4 linked regions of the Xenopus tropicalis genome follow. The protein of the gene in region 1 binds, or shares a complex with, the protein of each later gene. Links are inferred from orthologs where the notes say so. Each region holds a gene or a part of one and is shown in the gene's direction. Other genes may lie near its edges.

The links.
Region 2: the proteins of rev1 (region 1) and polk are in contact, whole or in part, in an NMR structure (PDB 2LSI), measured with the Homo sapiens proteins. The link is inferred for Xenopus tropicalis from reciprocal best matches to the Homo sapiens genes REV1 and POLK. Residues at the interface, in NP_057400.1 of Homo sapiens: Asn1158, Leu1159, Ala1160, Gly1161, Ala1162, Asp1167, Leu1171, Leu1172, Glu1174, Trp1175, Thr1178, Ile1179, Met1183, Glu1185, Asp1186, Gln1189, Val1190; in NP_001374042.1 of Homo sapiens: Lys564, Lys565, Ser566, Phe567, Phe568, Asp569, Lys571, Arg572, Arg575.
Region 3: the proteins of rev1 (region 1) and polh are in contact, whole or in part, in an NMR structure (PDB 2LSK), measured with the Homo sapiens proteins. The link is inferred for Xenopus tropicalis from reciprocal best matches to the Homo sapiens genes REV1 and POLH. Residues at the interface, in NP_057400.1 of Homo sapiens: Asn1158, Leu1159, Ala1160, Gly1161, Leu1171, Leu1172, Trp1175, Ile1179, Asp1181, Pro1182, Met1183, Glu1185, Asp1186, Gln1189, Val1190; in NP_006493.1 of Homo sapiens: Thr528, Glu529, Pro530, Phe531, Phe532, Lys533, Lys535, Ser536, Leu539.
Region 4: the proteins of rev1 (region 1) and pold3 are in contact, whole or in part, in an NMR structure (PDB 2N1G), measured with the Homo sapiens proteins. The link is inferred for Xenopus tropicalis from reciprocal best matches to the Homo sapiens genes REV1 and POLD3. Residues at the interface, in NP_057400.1 of Homo sapiens: Asn1158, Leu1159, Ala1160, Gly1161, Leu1171, Leu1172, Glu1174, Trp1175, Ile1179, Met1183, Glu1184, Glu1185, Asp1186, Gln1189, Val1190; in NP_006582.1 of Homo sapiens: Gly232, Asn233, Met234, Met235, Ser236, Asn237, Phe238, Phe239, Gly240, Ala242, Ala243, Met244.

Annotation. Positions count from the first base shown.
Region 1 is NC_030678.2:112,573,292-112,577,224, forward strand, and holds part of rev1 (DNA repair protein REV1), read left to right. Parts: coding exon 1-196; intron 197-2,600; coding exon 2,601-2,708; intron 2,709-2,944; coding exon 2,945-3,061; intron 3,062-3,808; coding exon 3,809-3,932; intron 3,933-3,933. UniProt on the Homo sapiens protein: Deoxycytidyl transferase involved in DNA repair. Transfers a dCMP residue from dCTP to the 3'-end of a DNA primer in a template-dependent reaction.
Region 2 is NC_030677.2:184,304,172-184,308,662, forward strand, and holds the start of polk (DNA polymerase kappa), read left to right. Parts: upstream 1-1,598; 5' UTR 1,599-1,748; intron 1,749-4,491. UniProt on the Homo sapiens protein: DNA polymerase specifically involved in DNA repair. Plays an important role in translesion synthesis, where the normal high-fidelity DNA polymerases cannot proceed and DNA synthesis stalls.
Region 3 is NC_030681.2:2,465,554-2,470,121, reverse strand, and holds the start of polh (DNA polymerase eta), read left to right. Parts: upstream 1-1,745; 5' UTR 1,746-1,855; intron 1,856-3,452; 5' UTR 3,453-3,474; coding exon 3,475-3,611; intron 3,612-4,275; coding exon 4,276-4,410; intron 4,411-4,568. Other genes in the region: exportin-5, read right to left, coding at 1,483-1,722. UniProt on the Homo sapiens protein: DNA polymerase specifically involved in the DNA repair by translesion synthesis (TLS). Due to low processivity on both damaged and normal DNA, cooperates with the heterotetrameric (REV3L, REV7, POLD2 and POLD3) POLZ complex for complete bypass of DNA lesions.
Region 4 is NC_030678.2:174,997,352-175,002,028, forward strand, and holds the start of pold3 (DNA polymerase delta subunit 3), read left to right. Parts: upstream 1-1,490; 5' UTR 1,491-1,553; coding exon 1,554-1,610; intron 1,611-3,851; coding exon 3,852-3,907; intron 3,908-4,677. UniProt on the Homo sapiens protein: Accessory component of both the DNA polymerase delta complex and the DNA polymerase zeta complex.

The DNA of each region.
Region 1 (3,933 bases):
CTCTCCCCTGCCAAGCTGGCCTCTCTACAGCTGCCTAAAACAGCTGACCCCAATTTTATTTCAGATTTTTATTCTCACTCCAGACTTCATCATATATCGACGTGGAAGTGTGAGTTCACTGAGTTTGTGCGCGGTCTACAGACTCAAAGTAACAAAGGCTTCCCAGGTCGGGAGAGGTTAAAAAAATTAAAGCCTGGTATGTATGTTATAAAGTATTGTTTCACTATTTACATTTTCAGGGCTGCCATAAAGGGGTACATGGGGTACAGCAATCAGGGGCCCCATTAGACATTACATTTTAATTTGCAGACCATGAAGAGCTTGTGGGAGAATAGGCAGGGTTTTGTCAGATCATGGAAGTGGTTTTCATGTAATAGTCATGATTGGGGTGGATCAGGGGGCGTGACTATAGTTACATAGTTACATAGGGTTGAAAAAAGACCAGTGTCCATCAAGTTCAACCCATCCAAGTAAACCCAGCACACCTAACCCACACCTACCATTCTATACACTCACATACATAAACTATAAATACAACCACTAGTACTAACTGTAGATATTAGTATCACAATAGCCTTGGATATTCTGATTGATCAAGAACTCATCCAGGCCCCTCTTAAAGGCATTAACAGAATCTGCCATTACCACATCACTAGGAAGGGCATTCCATAACCTCACTGCCCTCACCGTGAAAAACCACCTACGCTGCTTCAAATGGAAGCTCCTTTCCTCTAATCTAAAGGGGTGACCTCTGGTGCATTGATTGTTTTTATGGGAAAAAAGAACATCCCCCATCTGCCTATAATCCCCTCTAATGTACTTGTACAGAGTAATCATGTCCCCTCGCAAGCGCCTCTTTTCCAGAGAAAACAACCCCAACCTCGACAGTCTCACCTCATAGTTTAAATCTTCCATCCCCTTAACCAGTTTAGTTGCACGTCTCTGCACTTTCTCCAGCTCATTAATATCCTTCTTAAGGACTGGAGCCCAAAACTGCACTGCATACTCAAGGTGAGGCCTTACCAGGGACCTATAAAGGGGCAAAATTATGTTCTCATCCCTTGAGTCAACGCCCTTTTTTATACAAGACAGCACTTTATTTAGTAGCCACAGAATGACACTGCCTGGCATTAGACAACTTGTTATCAACAAAAAACCCTAGATCCTTCTCCATTAAGGATACCCCCAACACACTACCATTCAGTAGATAGTTTGCGTTTATATTATTTCTACCAAAGTGCATAACTTTGCACTTATCAACATTGAACCTCATTTTCCAGTTTGCTGCCCAGTTATCTAATTTTGTCAAATCGCTCTGCAAAGCGGCAGCATCCTGCATGGAACTTATAGTTTTGCACTATGTCTGTGGATACTTTTTTTCTATTTGTTGAGGTACCTTGGGGACCTGTACATTGTCATTTTTACTCACTACAATCTTTTTGTGCAGCTTTTACAAGTGGACTAATGATCCAACCTTAATGATTTGCCTGTGGATCACAGATATGTAGGTTGGATTCTTTTTAAATAATGTCAAACAGAGTTTAGGACTTTGAGGCTGGCTGAGGGCTGTTTAATGTCTTAGTGTCCTTTAACTGCCCCCACTGGCCTCCAGTTTTATAACCCTGCTCTAAACTATGGATCTACCTATGTGTCCAGGTTATAGCCTGTTTTGGGAAATCTAGTATACAGGTACTAGTGTAATTTTTCCTCTATGTTGTTCCAAGTAAAGCTTTAAATATATTTGCATGCATGACCAAAAGTCTGTTTAAATCCTTTCCGAAATGCACCTGTATTTTATTTTCAATTATCTTTATACTCCCTCAGCATGTGGGATGAATTACTATTAGAAGTGTGATAAAATATTTAATTCAACTTTCAGCAACAATACTATATGCAATAGTATTTAACTCTCTTTAAATTCATTTGATGCCACAAATTTTAGTATACAAACTAATAGCCCTTTTGGCTCTCTATAAAGCTCCAAAAATTACCATTTATCACTCTCTAGTAAAGGTAAACTGAAAAAGCACAGCTACTGATGGTATCAGAATTTCTAATTCTTATTTCTTTATAAAAAGAAAACCTTTATTTTCCAGTATAGTTATCTATGGGAAAACCATATAGTGTTGACCTGCATCAATGTATTTGCATCATAATATCATGCTGTGACCATGTACAAAATTTTATTGAGGTACTAATAATGTCTATGCATACATTTTTTACAGAACCTTGTAAATATTCTATTCCTTCTTAAAAATAAAACAAAATGAAATGTTATGAATTTCATGGGTACACCCCACATTTTTTCAATTTAGGAGAAAATGCATTCTGTGCTTGCTGCATTTATTAATTATTTATTATTGATGTTCAAGAAGCTATTACTGTTTCTCCAGTAAAGCATTTTACTTTGTATGTTCAGGTAGCGTACAATTCCTAAGCACTAGGGATTTTTAGACAATGGGGATATTATTATTTAAAGTAGCATGTAATTTTCTAAATAGAGTTTCTCTCCCATTAGAATATGCAACATTCTTGTGTGATGTAATGTGCAAAGTACAATACATTCCAGGAGTTAAGATCATTTTACTGTATTTAATTAGGTAATATGCCTCCTTCCACATTACCGAAGTGCCAGAACTGTATCATACACGTAGATATGGACTGCTTCTTTGTATCTGTGGCTATTCGCAACCGTCCGGACCTCAAAGGTAACTGTGCAGCATGTGGTTGCAAATAATAATTGTTTGATATATTGCATGCAGTGTCATTTTGTACCCATTGTATACCAGTTGTCATTAGTACAGTTTACACTGGTAATGGCTTGTGATGTTTATTATATACATAAAGGTAATTTTGATCACGTTCATGGTTGTTCTGTGAAAAATCATGTATCTTAGTTTGCTATTAAACCATATAACTGTGATTTTTCTTATTATCTGAAAAGGAAAACCAGTCGCTGTTACAAGCAACAGAGGTGCTGGAACAACGACAACGCGGGAAGGAGCTAATCCTCAGCTAGAGTTTCAGTATTATCAAAACAGGATACTAAAGGGAAAAGCTGGTATGTTTGTGTATTAAATGGACTGTAGTCTAATTGCCAGGGATACTGGCAACTATTATTTTTATTATCATTAACACAGATATACATAATAAACATTGCTTTACAGTGAAAGGGGGGTGTACACATCGAATATACAAACATTGCCTGATACAGGAAGTGAAGAGGGCCCTGCTCATTAGAGATTGCAGTCTAAATGTAATTTAGCAATATATGTCTTATTGGTTTACTAAAACTCACTTGGGTTAATGCATAATAATTAATAAATAGACCAAATTAATATTTACTAATTATTTACTGCAGTGATTGTTGAAGGCCATAAATCGTATGTTTCATCCTCCTGTATATAGTGGGATGAAAATACCTGTATAGGATTTAAAGAATATTCTTATTCCCTGGGGGAGGGGTACCAAGATGTTATGCACCCACCCAATAAATGAAATCGCTGTTCACTGGATTGAACTGGCTGGATTTCTTTTTCTTGGAAAAAATGTACAAGCCCAGGAATCATTTTTGCTTAACTCTATTCTGCCATCTTGTCGGTAATATTTGAAAATTTTGCTATAGTACCCAAGTGCACAAGTCTGGAAAGATGGCAGCACTTTAGTGCCAAGTTAGCAATTTAAGTAATTTTAATTAATTAAGTAGTTTCTTTTTGTTTGTTTACAGTAATTTTCTATTGATCTAATTATTTTATGATATGTTGCTAATTCCAATATAATACATAATCATCCAATTTTCTTTGTTTAGAGATTCCTAATGAACAAGATCAGCCTACATCTATCAGTTCAGATTCTGCACAACAAAATGGTCTAGACCTGGATATTTCACATCTATCCATGGCAGAAATCGCATCTTGCAGTTATGAAGCAAGG
Region 2 (4,491 bases), on another chromosome or scaffold:
GGTTTCCTGGGAAACCTAGGGGTCCAGTGGCCCCTCCTAGAGAGGGGGGTAATGTAATAAAAGCAGGCTTACCGGCGCGACGGGGACGCCCGCCGCGCTGCCATCGGCGGGGACGCCCGCCACGCTGCCCTTCCCTGGTGCCGGCTACTTCCTAGTGCGCGCCGCGCGCGCACCGCAGTGGTTTATAGGCGCATTCGCGCTGACGTCATAACGCAATGGCGCGAAGTTTGAATATTTAAAGGGCTTCTGTTTACTTTTTCATTGCCCGTGATAGGATTTTGATCCTGGTGCTTTCCTGAGCCTTGTGCATTTCGTTCCTGTGTCCTGCTTGTTGCCTTCCTGTGTTTTTGACCCGGCTTGCTCCTGACTATTCTGATAATCCATTTCTGACCTCGGCTTGTACTTTGACTCCGATTTCGTCTCGTCCTGCTGTTTTGATTATCCGGTTTGACCCTTGCCTGTCTGACGATCCTTCTTACTGCCTGCCCCGACCCAGCCTGCCTGACTACGAACTTGCCTCATCCTTTTGTACCGTGATCTTCGGCCTAATTGACTTTAACTACAGTCGTGCCCCTTTGCTTGCCAGAACTCCTGCCTTGTTTCTCTCGTTAAGTCCAGGTGGCATCTGAGTAGCTGAGGGCTCCTCCCGAAGCCAAAGGCGGTCACAATACTGGTGAAGCCGAGACAAGGGAACTTGGCATCTGTTCTGGTTTAGGGTGCCGACCGTGACACGGTGCTGTTTTCCCTTTGTTCTAAAAATTAATCCTCTCTGTAAAAATGGCCCCTTTATTGGAGCTCCCTATAGATCGTATCACTTCTCTATCCAGTGTGAAATGAAGAGTGGGTGTGTCCTAACGGTCCCTGCCAGAAGCAAAGTAGGAGGGGGAGAGCCAATCACAGCCCTGCAGTCACACAAGCACAGCCAGACTTCAGTTCCCTATCAGGTCAGCCTAGCTGCTGATTGGTTCCTATCCTACAGTGCAGTGTACTGAGGGCCCCGGCTCCCTTGCACATTCAGAGAATTCAGCCAGCAGGAAGTGGAACAGATGGGCGGGACTAGTGGGGTTTTGGTGGAATTTCTCAATAAATCAGTCAGAAAAACAACTTTTTAAAGCACATTCCTTCTATATCTGGAGGAGTATAATTCACTGGTACATTCATAATTTTTATAGGATATGTCTCCTTTAAGCCCAGCACTGCAGACAAATAACTTGTAAGGAGCCCCAAGATTTTTGATAGAGGCTTTGTCTAGCATTGCCATTTCCCTTATTTCTTTTTTTATAATTTCCCATATGTTAATACAAATAATCCTTGTTTCTATTTGTTTACATTTATTGTGAAGTGCTGCATTATTTGCTGGCACATTATAATTAACTGATGATGATGATGATAATAATTCTTCACATTTGACAGATTTACTTTTTTGCTTGTAAAAATATAAAAGTATCTTGTATTTGCATGCAACTGACAGCTTATGCTGTAGCACACTTTATTTTTCTGCTTTGAGCACCAAATGCCAACTTCACTCAGGTATCATTGCGTTTAAATTCACTTTGTTTGCGAAGTAGGGTTGATAGGTATTCCCTCCACAAAGATGGCGGAACTGGCTTCTCCGAGTTAGAACCAAGTTCCAGGAAGTAGAGAGGGGCCGGCTGTAGCCGACTGAGGAAGACGGAACGTTGCTTGAATGGAGGAGGGAAAAAGAAAGTGAGATTATTTTCTGTCTATTGAGGCTTGAGCCATAGTTGGTAAGTGAAAGAAATGAAAGGGCCTCACACAGGATTTGAAAGCTCACATTTGGTGAGCAGAAGCGCTGCCTGTGTGAGTGGAAATGCTTTCAATGATTTCTGCACAAGTGACAGCTGCATGATGTGACATGTCTGTACTTGCTCCTGCTGTTTACATGTATATGAGTTTTTCTGTGTTTAGTGGAACCCGGTTTTGAATGCAGTGGCAGTGTTATTTTATTTGCTTTGAGGCGGGTTGGTCTGTACATTCATTTGCAAGAAAAGGTTTGAATTATATAAATTGATTGTACATACATGTTCACATAATACAGACATTAAGTCCTCTGGTTGCTAGTCTTTTTTCACTGTGTATAAATATCTTTTATGATGTACCAGGGAAATATGAAAAAAAAAAAATTACATATATAGCATTATAATATAAAGCATATAATATAAAGCATTATGCTATAAAGTCATACAATCAACTCAGCAATCCCCCTTGATTGAATGCCACTAATCTGTTTGTGCAGCCATAAGAGCAGCGTGCTAATATTGACTGAAATTTTTTTACACATTAACACAATTTACAAAAGGTATATGCTTCTTGGAATTTTGGGGTAAAAACATGATAATTAGCATCCAAAAAGTACCCTTAAAGGAGAAGGAAAGGCTAAGTCACTTGGGGGTGCCATAATGTTAGGCACCCCATTGACTTTAATCGCATACCTTTTACCCCGGGCTGGTGCCCCTGTTAGGAGAAAACAGCACCAGCCCGGGGTACCTGCACTGAGCACTTCCTTCTTCCGTGTTCACTCTGCCGTCAAAGTCCCTGGACCGGCGCCTGTGTATTAGAGTGAAAAGCTGACTTTGTTGTTAAAATTTTGCTAAACTACGCATGCGCACGAACAAGGAAAAAGGAAGCGCTCTCAGCTACCCCGGGGTAAAAGGTAAGCGATTAAAGTCACTTGGGGGTGCCTAACATTTTGGCACCCCCAAGTGACTTAGCCTTTCCTTCTTCTTTAACACCATGGGGTCCATTTATCAATGTACGATTAAAAGAAGTTTTAGAACTGTGTCTATTTTCTGCGATTTTTTTCATTATCTGCTTTTTCGTGCTTTGCGACAATTTGTGCAACATAATCGTATTTGTCGCAAAGCGTTCGAAAGTTTTGGATTCATTAAAGCTTCAGTATTGTAACTTTCCTTGGGCCAGGTTGGAGCTGCAGAGTGCCATTGAGCCCTATGGGAGGCTTTCCTTGGGCCGGGTTGGAGCTGCAGAGTGCCACTGAGCCCTATGGGAGACTTTCCTTGGGCCGGGTTGGAGCTGCAGAGTGCCATTGAGCCCTATGGGAGACTTTCCTTGGGCCAGGTTGGAGCTGCAGAGTGCCATTGAGCCCTATGGGAGGCTTTCCTTGGGCCGGGTTGGAGCTGCAGAGTGCCATTGAGCCCTATGGGAGGCTTTCCTTGGGCCGGGTTGGAGCTGCAGAGTGCCATTGAGCCCTATGGGAGGCTTTCCTTGGGCCGGGTTGGAGCTGCAGAGTGCCATTGAGCCCTATGGGAGACTTTCCTTGGGCCGGGTTGGAGCTGCAGAGTGCCATTGAGCCCTATGGGAGACTTTCCTTGGGCCAGGTTGGAGCTGCAGAGTGCCATTGAGCCCTATGGGAGGCTTTCCTTGGGCCGGGTTGGAGCTGCAGAGTGCCATTGAGCCCTATGGGAGACTTTCCTTGGGCCGGGTTGGAGCTGCAGAGTGCCATTCAGCCCTATGGGAGACTTTCCTTGGGCCAGGTTGGAGATGCAGAGTGCCATTGAGCCCTATGGGAGGCTTTCCTTGGGCCAGGTTGGAGCTGCAGAGTGTCATTGAGTCCTATGGGAGGTTTCCAAAAACATGCACAGAAGGTTCAGTCAGAAAGTTTATTTGCGCCTTTTTACGATCGTTCGGATACGAAAATTTCAGAACTGTCGGATCGCACCATGATATTTTTGTACGACCACAATGCAATCTGAAATTTTCATATCTAATACAAAATTTTTGCTGCCCGAAATTCGGACTTTGATAAATCAGCCCCCATGTGTTGCATTAACAAGTGTGCTTTGTCATAACTTGTAAGGAATGAAGAGAGATAAAAGTAGGATGCACCAAATACAGGACAAGAGTTAGGTGATTTGCAGAATTTTAAGTATTCAGCCCTATATGATTATGAACCCTCGTGAGTCATGTGACACAATTAATGCCATTTTTTCAATTTGAATAAACAAATTATGGTTCCGAAGTGCTTTGTACAAGATTTATTGAAATTTGATGAATTCTGTGCCCAATAGAAAAGTGGTCACTGTATCCACAGTCACAAGGCATGATAGAAAGGTTAAAAAGAGCTTTTAGAAAGATGTCCACACAAATCTGTGTTTGTTTTTGCATAATTAAAAAAACGTAATTCTAAACAAATTTCCAATATATGTTACTTACAAATACTTGGTGATTTCAAGATATCTGTATGTGTAATTATTTTTATGTTTTTTAAATAATTTAGCTTTTTGTTCAACAGCTCTCTGGTTTGTAACTGGTTGTTAGGGTCCAATATAACTTAGTAACCAGGCAGTGGCTTGAATGAAAGACTGAAATATAAATAGTAGGGCGACTGAAGAGATCGGTAAGTAATAAAAATTAACAGTAACAATACAGTTGTAGCCTCACAGAGCCATAGTATTTTTGGCTGCAAGTAACCCCCATTTGAAAGCTAGAAAAAGGAGGAAGAGGAAGGCAAAT
Region 3 (4,568 bases), on another chromosome or scaffold:
AACTGAATTCTGCTACATTGTTCCAAGAGGCAGAACCAGCAGTGCAGACACACATACACTGACGTTGCGCAGAATCACATTTTCTTTTCTTAGACAAGTTTTTATTTTTGGGTTTGTATTCCCTTTAAACTAAGGGGAAACTCCATAGGCTTTGGACATTGCCCTATATTTACCCCCTGCCCCGGTATATTTACCCCCTGCCCCGGTATATTTACCCCCTGCCTCGGTATATTTACCCCCTGCCTCGGTATATTTACCCCCTGCCTCGGTATATTTACCCCCTGCCTCGGTATATTTACCCCCTGCCTCGGTATATTTACCCCCTGCCTCGGTATATTTACCCCCCTGCCTCGGTATATTTACCCCCTGCCCCGGTATATTTACCCCCTGCCCCGGTATATTTACCCCCTGCCTCGGTAATTACCCCCTGCCTCGGTATATTTACCCCCTGCCTCGGTATATTACCCCCTGCCTCGGTTATATTTACCCCCTGCCTCGGTTTATTTACCCCCTGCCTCGGTTTATTTACCCCCTGCCTCGGTTATTTACCCCCTGCCTCGGTATATTTACCCCCTGCCTCGGTATATTACCCCTGCCCGGTATATTTACCCCCTGCCCCGGTATATTTACCCCCTGCCCTCGGTATATTTACCCCTGCCCGGTATATTTACCCCCTGCCTCGGTATATTTACCCCCTGCCTCAGTATATTTACCCCCTGCCCCAGTATATTTACCCCCTGCCCCAGTATATTTACCCCCTGCCTCAGTATATTTACCCCCTGCCTCAGTTTATTTACCCCCTGCCTCAGTATATTTACCCCCTGCCTCGGTTTATTTACCCCCTGCCTCAGTATATGTACCCCTGCCCCAGTATATTTACCCCTGCCCCAGTATATTTACCCCCCTGCCTCGGTATATTTACCCCCTGCCTCGGTATATTTACCCCCTGCCTCGGTATATTTACCCCCTGCCCCAGTATATTTACCCCCTGCCTCAGTATATTTACCCCCTGCCTCAGTATATTACCCCCTGCATCAGTATATTTACCCCCTGCCCCAGTATATTTACCCCCTGCATCAGTATATTTACCCCCTGCCTCAGTATATTTACCCCCTGCATCAGTATATTTACCCCCTGCCTCAGTATATTTACCCCCTGCATCAGTATATTTACCCCCTGCCCCAGTATATTTACCCCCTGCATCAGTATATTTACCCCTGCCTCAGTATATTTACCCCCTGCCCCAGTATATTTACCCCCTGCATCAGTATATTTACCCCCTGCCTCAGTATATTTACCCCCTGCCCCAGTATATTTACCCCCTGCCCCAGTATATTTACCCCCTGCCTCAGTATATTTACCCCCTGCCCCAGTATATTTACCCCCTGCCCCGGTATATTTACCCCCTGCCTCGGTATATTTACCCCCTGCCCCGGTATATTTACCCCCTGCCCCAGGCAGTTGCTCTGCCAGCCCCGGTACCTTGTGCGCTTCCTGCCGCCCCTCCTGACTGGACTTGGGATCCATGATAACAGTGAGGGCCCGTACGAGGCGGCCGCACAGGACATGCAGTTGGGAAGCCATTGCCCCGGTGCTATTACTGTGCCACTCACTGAGAGCACCCCCAGCAACTCTCCCATCATTGCGCATGCGCATTTGGTACCATAGAGCCGCTATGGGAGCGGTGCGCATGCGCAGTCGGGCGATTCTGTGTTTGCGCATGCGCACAGGCTGTTATGATCCTGTCACGCTTTAGCGGGAGTCCGAGTTGTGAGGGAGTACGGAGACCTGCTGGGGTCAAATGCCTTCATAGTGCAGACACCAACTGCGACGGTCTGGGAGAGGTTTGAAGTGTGTGAGTTTAGTCAGTCAGATCTGATACCTTATATGTCTTCCTGTTCCCTATTCTCTGTTTTGTGCTTCCTACTCCCTGTCCCCTGCTCTCTAACCCCTGCTCTCTAACCCCTACCCCCTGCTCTCTAACCCCTACCCCCTACTTCCTACTCCCTGTCCCCTGCTCTCTAACCCCTACCCCCTACTTCCTACTCCCTGTCCCCTGCTCTCTAACCCCTACCCCCTGCTTTCTACTCCCTGTCCCCTGCTCTCTAACCCCTACCCCTGCTCTCTAACCCCTGTCCCCTGCTCTCTAACCCCTACCCCCTACTTCCTACTCCCTGTCCCCTGCTCTCTAACCCCTACCCCCTGCTTTCTACTCCCTGTCCCCTACTTCCTACTCCCTGTCCCCTGCTTTCTACTCCCTGTCCCCTGCTTTCTACTCCCTGTCCCCTGCTTTCTACTCCCTGTCCCCTGCTCTCTAACCCCTACCCCCTGCTCTCTAACCCCTGTCCCCTGCTCTCTAACCCCTACCCCCTACTTCCTACTCCCTGTCCCCTGCTCTCTAACCCCTACCCCCTGCTCTCTAACCCCTACCCCCTGCTCTCTAACCCCTACCCCCTATTTCCTACTCCCTGTCCCCTGCTCTCTAACCCCTACCCCCTGCTCTCTAACCCCTACCCCCTACTTCCTACTCCCTGTCCCCTGCTCTCTAACCCCTACCCCCTGCTCTCTAACCCCTACCCCCTATTTCCTACTCCCTGTCCCCTGCTCTCTAACCCCTACCCCCTGCTCTCTAACCCCTACCCCCTACTTCCTACTCCCTGTCCCCTGCTCTCTAACCCCTACCCCCTGCTCTCTAACCCCTACCCCCTATTTCCTACTCCCTGTCCCCTGCTCTCTAACCCCTACCCCCTGCTCTCTAACCCCTACCCCCTACTTCCTACTCCCTGTCCCCTGCTCTCTAACCCCTACCCCCTACTTCCTACTCCCTGTCCCCTGCTCTCTAACCCCTACCCCCTGCTCTCTAACCCCTGCTCTCTAACCCCTACTTCCTACTCCCTGTCCCCTGCTCTCTAACCCCTACCCCCTGCTCTCTAACCCCTACCCCCTGCTCTCTAACTCCTACCCCCTACTTTTTACTGCCTGTCCCCTGCTCTCTAACCCCTACCCCCTACTTTCTCCTCCCACTTCCCTCCTCCCTATTCTGTGCTTTCTACTCCCTGTTCCCTGCTCTCTAACCCCTGCTTTCTACTCCCTGTTCCCTGCTCTCTAACCCCTGCTTTCTATTCCCTGTTCCCTGCTCTCTAACCCCTGCTTTCTGCTCCCTGTTCCCTGCTCTCTAACCCCTGCTATCTACTCCCTGTTCCCTGCTCTCTAACCCCTGCTATCTACTCCCTGTTCCCTGCTCTCTATCCTATGCTTTCTACTCCCTGTTCCCTGCTCTCTATCCTATGCTCTTTATTCCCTTGCTTTCCATTCCCTGCACAATGCCCACTCTCTCTCCCCCCAGTTCCCCCGCTCTTTCTGCCCCCAGTTCCCCCACGCTCTCTCTGCCCCCCCTGCTAGTTCAGTGTGTGTTTATTGAATAACTCCCAGAACCTTACTGCTCTTTCCAGTATCAGACTGCACTGAGCTGCAATGGAGTCGGGGCAGGAGCGAGTGGTGGCGCTGGTGGATATGGATTGTTTCTATGTACAAGTTGAGCAGCGCATGAATCCGGCACTGAAGAACAAGCCAGTGGCAGTGGTGCAGTACAAAACCTGGAAAGGAGGCGGGTGAGTTCCTGGTGCTTTTGCCTAGAAACAAGGGGCACTGAGTGCTGGTACCACTGGATCTCCTGCTTGTGAGGGTCCTATTTACCCTAGCAACCAGGCAGTGGTTTAAACAAGAGATGGAAATATGAATAGTAGAGGGCCTGCATAGAAATATAAGTAATAAAAAGTAACAATAAAACTGGAGCCTCGCAGAGCAATAGGGTTTGGCTGCCGGGGTCAGTGACCCCATTTGAAAACTGGAATAAGGCAGAAAATAAAGGCAAATAATTAAAAAAAAAAAAACTATAAGAAATGATGAAAACCAATTGCAAAGTTGCACGGAATAGGGCATTCTATAATGTACTAGAAGGTGAACCTCCCCTTTAAAGGCACACTCCTATAATATTAAAGGGCAGATATTGGAGCTGTATTTCCCCAGTGCCAGTAAGAGGGGACTCTTGTTCTGCTTACTTTCTTAGGCCAATAGAAGCTGCTTGGGTAGAACTTTCATTGCTTCTAAACAGATCAGCATTCGGACCCTCCTTGCACATATATCCGTGTTATGAGAATATTATAGCAATTACTTGGCACATATTATTCTCAGGGGGGGACCTCGGGGTTACCAGCACCTCCATGTTGTTTATGTGAAGGCCTGAGAGTTCCGTGTCTCCCTGTCTGTGCTCAGGATTATCGCTGTGAGCTATGAAGCCCGGGCCTTTGGCGTGACGAGGAACATGTTTGGTGACGACGCAAAGAAGCTGTGCGCTGATCTGCAGCTGGCCCGCGTCAGAGAGGCTCATGGGAAGGCTGACCTGACAAAGTAAGTAACTGTGGGACAGGGCTCTTTGCTGTCACTCACCCTGACACCCACCCTGTCGCTCTCTAGCTGTGTGACTGCTGCACATTATTCCACATTATTGCCGCATTTCAGGTAAAGACCCTTAATTTTAGGCTAATAAATAACATAAGTGTGACATA
Region 4 (4,677 bases), about 62 Mb from region 1:
TTTCTCTGTAATAATAAAACAGTACCTGTACTTGATCCCAACTAAGATATAATTACCCCTTATTGGGGGCAGAACAGCCCTATTGGGTTTATTTAATGGTTAAATGATTCCCTTTTCTCTGTTATAATAAAACAGTACCTGTACTTGATCCCAACTAAGATATAATTACCCCTTATTGGGGGCAGAACAATCCTATTATAGAAATACCCCTTATCCGGAAAATCCCAGGTCCCGAGCATTCTGGATAACGGGTCCCATACCTGTACTATGGATACCAAGTGCTGCTGTAGGCTATAGGGATAAAATTGTTCCAGTTCACATACATTAAAGGAACACTGACATGGGAAAACATCACCCCCAGCAGCCGATCAGCAGAACAATGGGAAGGGAGCAAGATAGCAGCTCCCAGTAGGTATCAGAATAGCACTCAATAGTAAGAAATCCAAGTCCGGCTTGGGACTCCTCCAGTTACATGGGAGTAGGAGAAACAATAGGTTAGCTGAAAGCAGTTCTAATGAGTAGCGCTGGCTGAAAGCTCAGACTCAGGCACACTTTACTGCTGCGCTGCAAGTTGGAGTGATATCCCCCCCCTCACCCCCAGCAGCCAATCAGCAGAACAATGGGAAGGGAGCAAGATAGCAGCTCCCAGTAGGTATCAGAATAGCACTCAATAGTAAGAAATCCAAGTCCGGCTTGGGACTCCTCCAGTTACATGGGAGTAGGAGAAACAATAGGTTAGCTGAAAGCAGTTCTAATGAGTAGCGCTGGCTGAAAGCTCAGACTCAGGCACACTTTACTGCTGCGCTGCAAGTTGGAGTGATATCCCCCCCCCTCACCCCCAGCAGCCAATCAGCAGAACAATGGGAAGGGAGCAAGATAGCAGCTCCCAGTAGGTATCAGAATAGCACTCAATAGTAAGAAATCCAAGTCCGGCTTGGGACTCCTCCAGTTACATGGGAGTAGGAGAAACAATAGGTTAGCTGAAAGCAGTTCTAATGTGTAGCGCTGGCTGAAAGCTCAGACTCAGGCACAAGGCACTGAGATGGCGCCTACACACCAATATTACAGCTACAAATACATTTGTTGGTACAAGAATAGAAGGTTAAATGGCAGAGGGAATTGTTTCTGTGTGACAGTGTCATTTAGAGACAAACAGCCCCATAAATATGAGGGCAGGGTCCCTTTAAACCCCAGGTTTGCCTGTTCAAGCTGTGACTCCATTTCCTACAGATTCCCCCTTGTATCTGCCTGTAAGGGTAAAGTCTGCCTGCCCTATAGAGAGAGCCTGCAGAGGTCCTGCCTCCAGCACATATAGAGTTAACCTTCCCGGCGTGCCTTGCTCTAGTACTGGCACAGGGAAGGGGCGTGTTTATTTCTGTTCCACGTGTGCGCAGCTCGCTTCTCATTGGGCAGCGTCTTTAGCCGCGTCTTCTCTCCGCCAATGATGTTGGTGCTTTTGCGCCTGCGCTCCCCGCTCCCGCTGGCCTCGGTTGTCAGGCGCCAAGTATAGAGAGTAGCTGCGGGTTCCCTGGGGCCGGACCCGGGCGGGAGCTATGGACGAACTGTACCTGGAGAATATCGACGAGCTGGTGGCTGATCAGAATAAGATCGTGAGTTCCGAGCAACTGGGGCTCTCCGGCTCTTCTGAATGGAACCTGCCGTCCCTTCTTATAATAATACCCGGGCCGCTTCTCCCTGGCATGGGCAATTTGGTGGTTTATTCCCCCTTACCCAGATGGGCACCCTGGGGTCATCCCCCCCCACCCACCCAGATGTGCACCCTGGGGTCATCCCCCCCCCACCCACCCAGATGTGCACCCTGGGGTCATCCCCCCCCCACCCACCCAGATGTGCACCCTGGGGTCATCCCCCCCCCACCCACCCAGATGTGCACCCTGGGGTCATCCCCCCCCCCACCCCACCCAGATGGGCACCCTGGGGTCATCCCCCCCCCTACCCAGATGGGCACCCTGGGGTCATCCCCCCCCCCCCGGGCCCCCCTACCCAGATGGGCACCCTGGGGTCATCCCCCCCCTACCCAGATGGGCACCCTGGGGTCACCCCCCCTACCCAGATGGGCACCCTGGGGTCACCCCCCCCTACCCAGATAGGCACCCTGGGGTCATCCCCCCCTACCCAGATGGGCACCCTGGGGTCATCCCCCCCTACCCAGATGGGCACCCTGGGGTCACCCCCCCCCTACCCAGATAGGCACCCTGGGTCATCCCCCCCCCCTACCCAGATGGGCACCCTGGGGTCATCCCCCCCCCCCTACCCAGATGGGGACCCTGGGGTCACCCCTACCCAGATAGGCACCCTGGGGTCATCCCCCCCCTACCCAGATGGGCACCCTGGGGTCATCCCCCCCCCCTACCCAGATGGGGACCCTGGGGTCACCCCCCCCTACCCAGATAGGCACCCTGGGGTCATCCCCCCCCCACCCAGATAGGCACCCTGGGGTCATCCCCCCCCCACCCAGATAGGCACCCTGGGGTCATCCCCCCCCACCCAGATAGGCACCCAGGGGTCATCCCCCCCCCCCACCACCCATATAGGCACCCTGGGGTCATCCCCTACCCAGATGGGCACCCTGGGGTCATCCCCCCCTTACCCAGATGGGGACCCTGGGGTCACCCCCCCCCCTACCCAGATGGGGACCCTGGGGTCACCCCCCCCCTACCCAGATGGGGACCCTGGGGTCATCCCCCCCTACCCAGATGGGGACCCTGGGGTCATCCCCCCCCTTACCCAGATGGGCACCCTGGGGTCACCCCCCCCCTACCCAGATGGGGACCCTGGGGTCATCCCCCCCTTACCCAGATGGGGACCCTGGGGTCATCCCCCCCCTTACCCAGATGGGCACCCTGGGGTCATCCCCCCCTTACCCAGATGGGGACCCTGGGGTCATCCCCCCCTACCCAGATGGGGACCCTGGGGTCATCCCCCCCTACCCAGATGGGGACCCTGGGGTCATCCCCCCCTTACCCAGATGGGGACCCTGGGGTCACCCCCCCCCTACCCAGATGGCACCCTGGGGTCATCCCCCCCCACCCAGATAGGCACCCTGGGGTCATCCCCCCCCCCCCACCCAGATAGGCACCCTGGGGTCATCCCCCCCCCCCCACCCAGATAGGCACCCTGGGGTCATCCCCCCCCCACCCAGATAGGCACCCTGGGGTCATCCCCCCCCCCCCCACCCAGATGGGCACCCTGGGGTCATCCCCCCCCCCCACCCAGATGGGCACCCTGGGGTCATCCCCCCCCCCACCCAGATGGGCACCCTGGGGTCACCCCCCCCCTACCCAGATGGGCACCCTGGGGTCACCCCCCCTACCCAGATGGGCACCCTGGGGTCACCCCCCCTACCCAGATGGGCACCCTGGGGTCACCCCCCCCCTACCCAGATGGGCACCCTGGGGTCACCCCCTTACCCAGATGGGGACCCTGGGGTCATCCCCCCCTTACCCAGATGGGGACCCTGGGGTCATCCCCCCCTTACCCAGATGGGGACCCTGGGGTCATCCCCCCCCTACCCAGATGGGGACCCTGGGGTCATCCCCCCCCCCACCCAGATGGGAACGATGGGGTCTTCCCATAATTCCTTGCATGACCCTTATAATGTTGCATTTGGAACAGGGCCCCAATCTGGTTTTTGGCCAGTTTTGGTCACCTCTGGTTCAGGGGTTGGGTCAGTACAAATGCAGTGAGACCCAGGCAGTCCCTGTTGTGTTACTGAGCCAATGGGCTGCCGGTATTTCAGCCTCATTATCCCTCTAGCCCCGCCCATCTGTATCGCTATGTATCATACTGACTTGCCCCGACTGACGCCATTCTCTCTGCTTGCGTTACAGGTGACGTACAAATGGCTGAGCCACACGCTGGGCGTCCATGTTAACCTGGCGAAACAGTGAGTACTGCCCCCCCCCCCTTGCTTCCCATTGGGGCCTCACTGCGAATATCCCCCCATTTACAAAAATGCATACATATTTTTTTATATTTCATTTTGAAATGTCCCATGGGGCTAGCCATATTCTTCATTTCCCAGGGTGCCACAGCCATGTGACCTGTGCTCTGATAAACTTCACTCACACTTTACTGCTGCGCTGCAAGTTGGAGTGATATCCCCCCCCCCTCACCCCCAGCAGCCGATCAGCAGAACAATGGGAAGGGAGCAAGATAGCAGCTCCCAGTAGGTATCAGAATAGCACTCAATAGTAAGAAATCCAAGTCCGGCTTGGGACTCCTCCAGTTACATGGGAGTAGGAGAAACAATAGGTTAGCTGAAAGCAGTTCTAATGTGTAGCGCTGGCTGAAAGCTCAGACTCAGGCACACTTTACTGCTGCGCTGCAAGTTGGAGTGATATCCCCCCCCCCTCACCCCCAGCAGCCGATCAGCAGAACAATGGGAAGGGAGCAAGATAGCAGCTCCCAGTAGGTATCAGAATAGCACTCAATAGTAAGAAATCCAAGTCCGGCTTGGGACTCCTCCAGTTACATGGGAGTAGGAGAAACAATAGGTTAGCTGAAAGCAGTTCTAATGTGTAGCGCTGGCTGAAAGCTCAGACTCAGGCACACTTTACTGCTGCGCTGCAAGTTGGAATGATATCCCCCCCCTCACCCCCAGCAGCCGATCAGCAGAACAATGGGAAGGGAGCAAGATAGCAGCTCCCAGTAGGT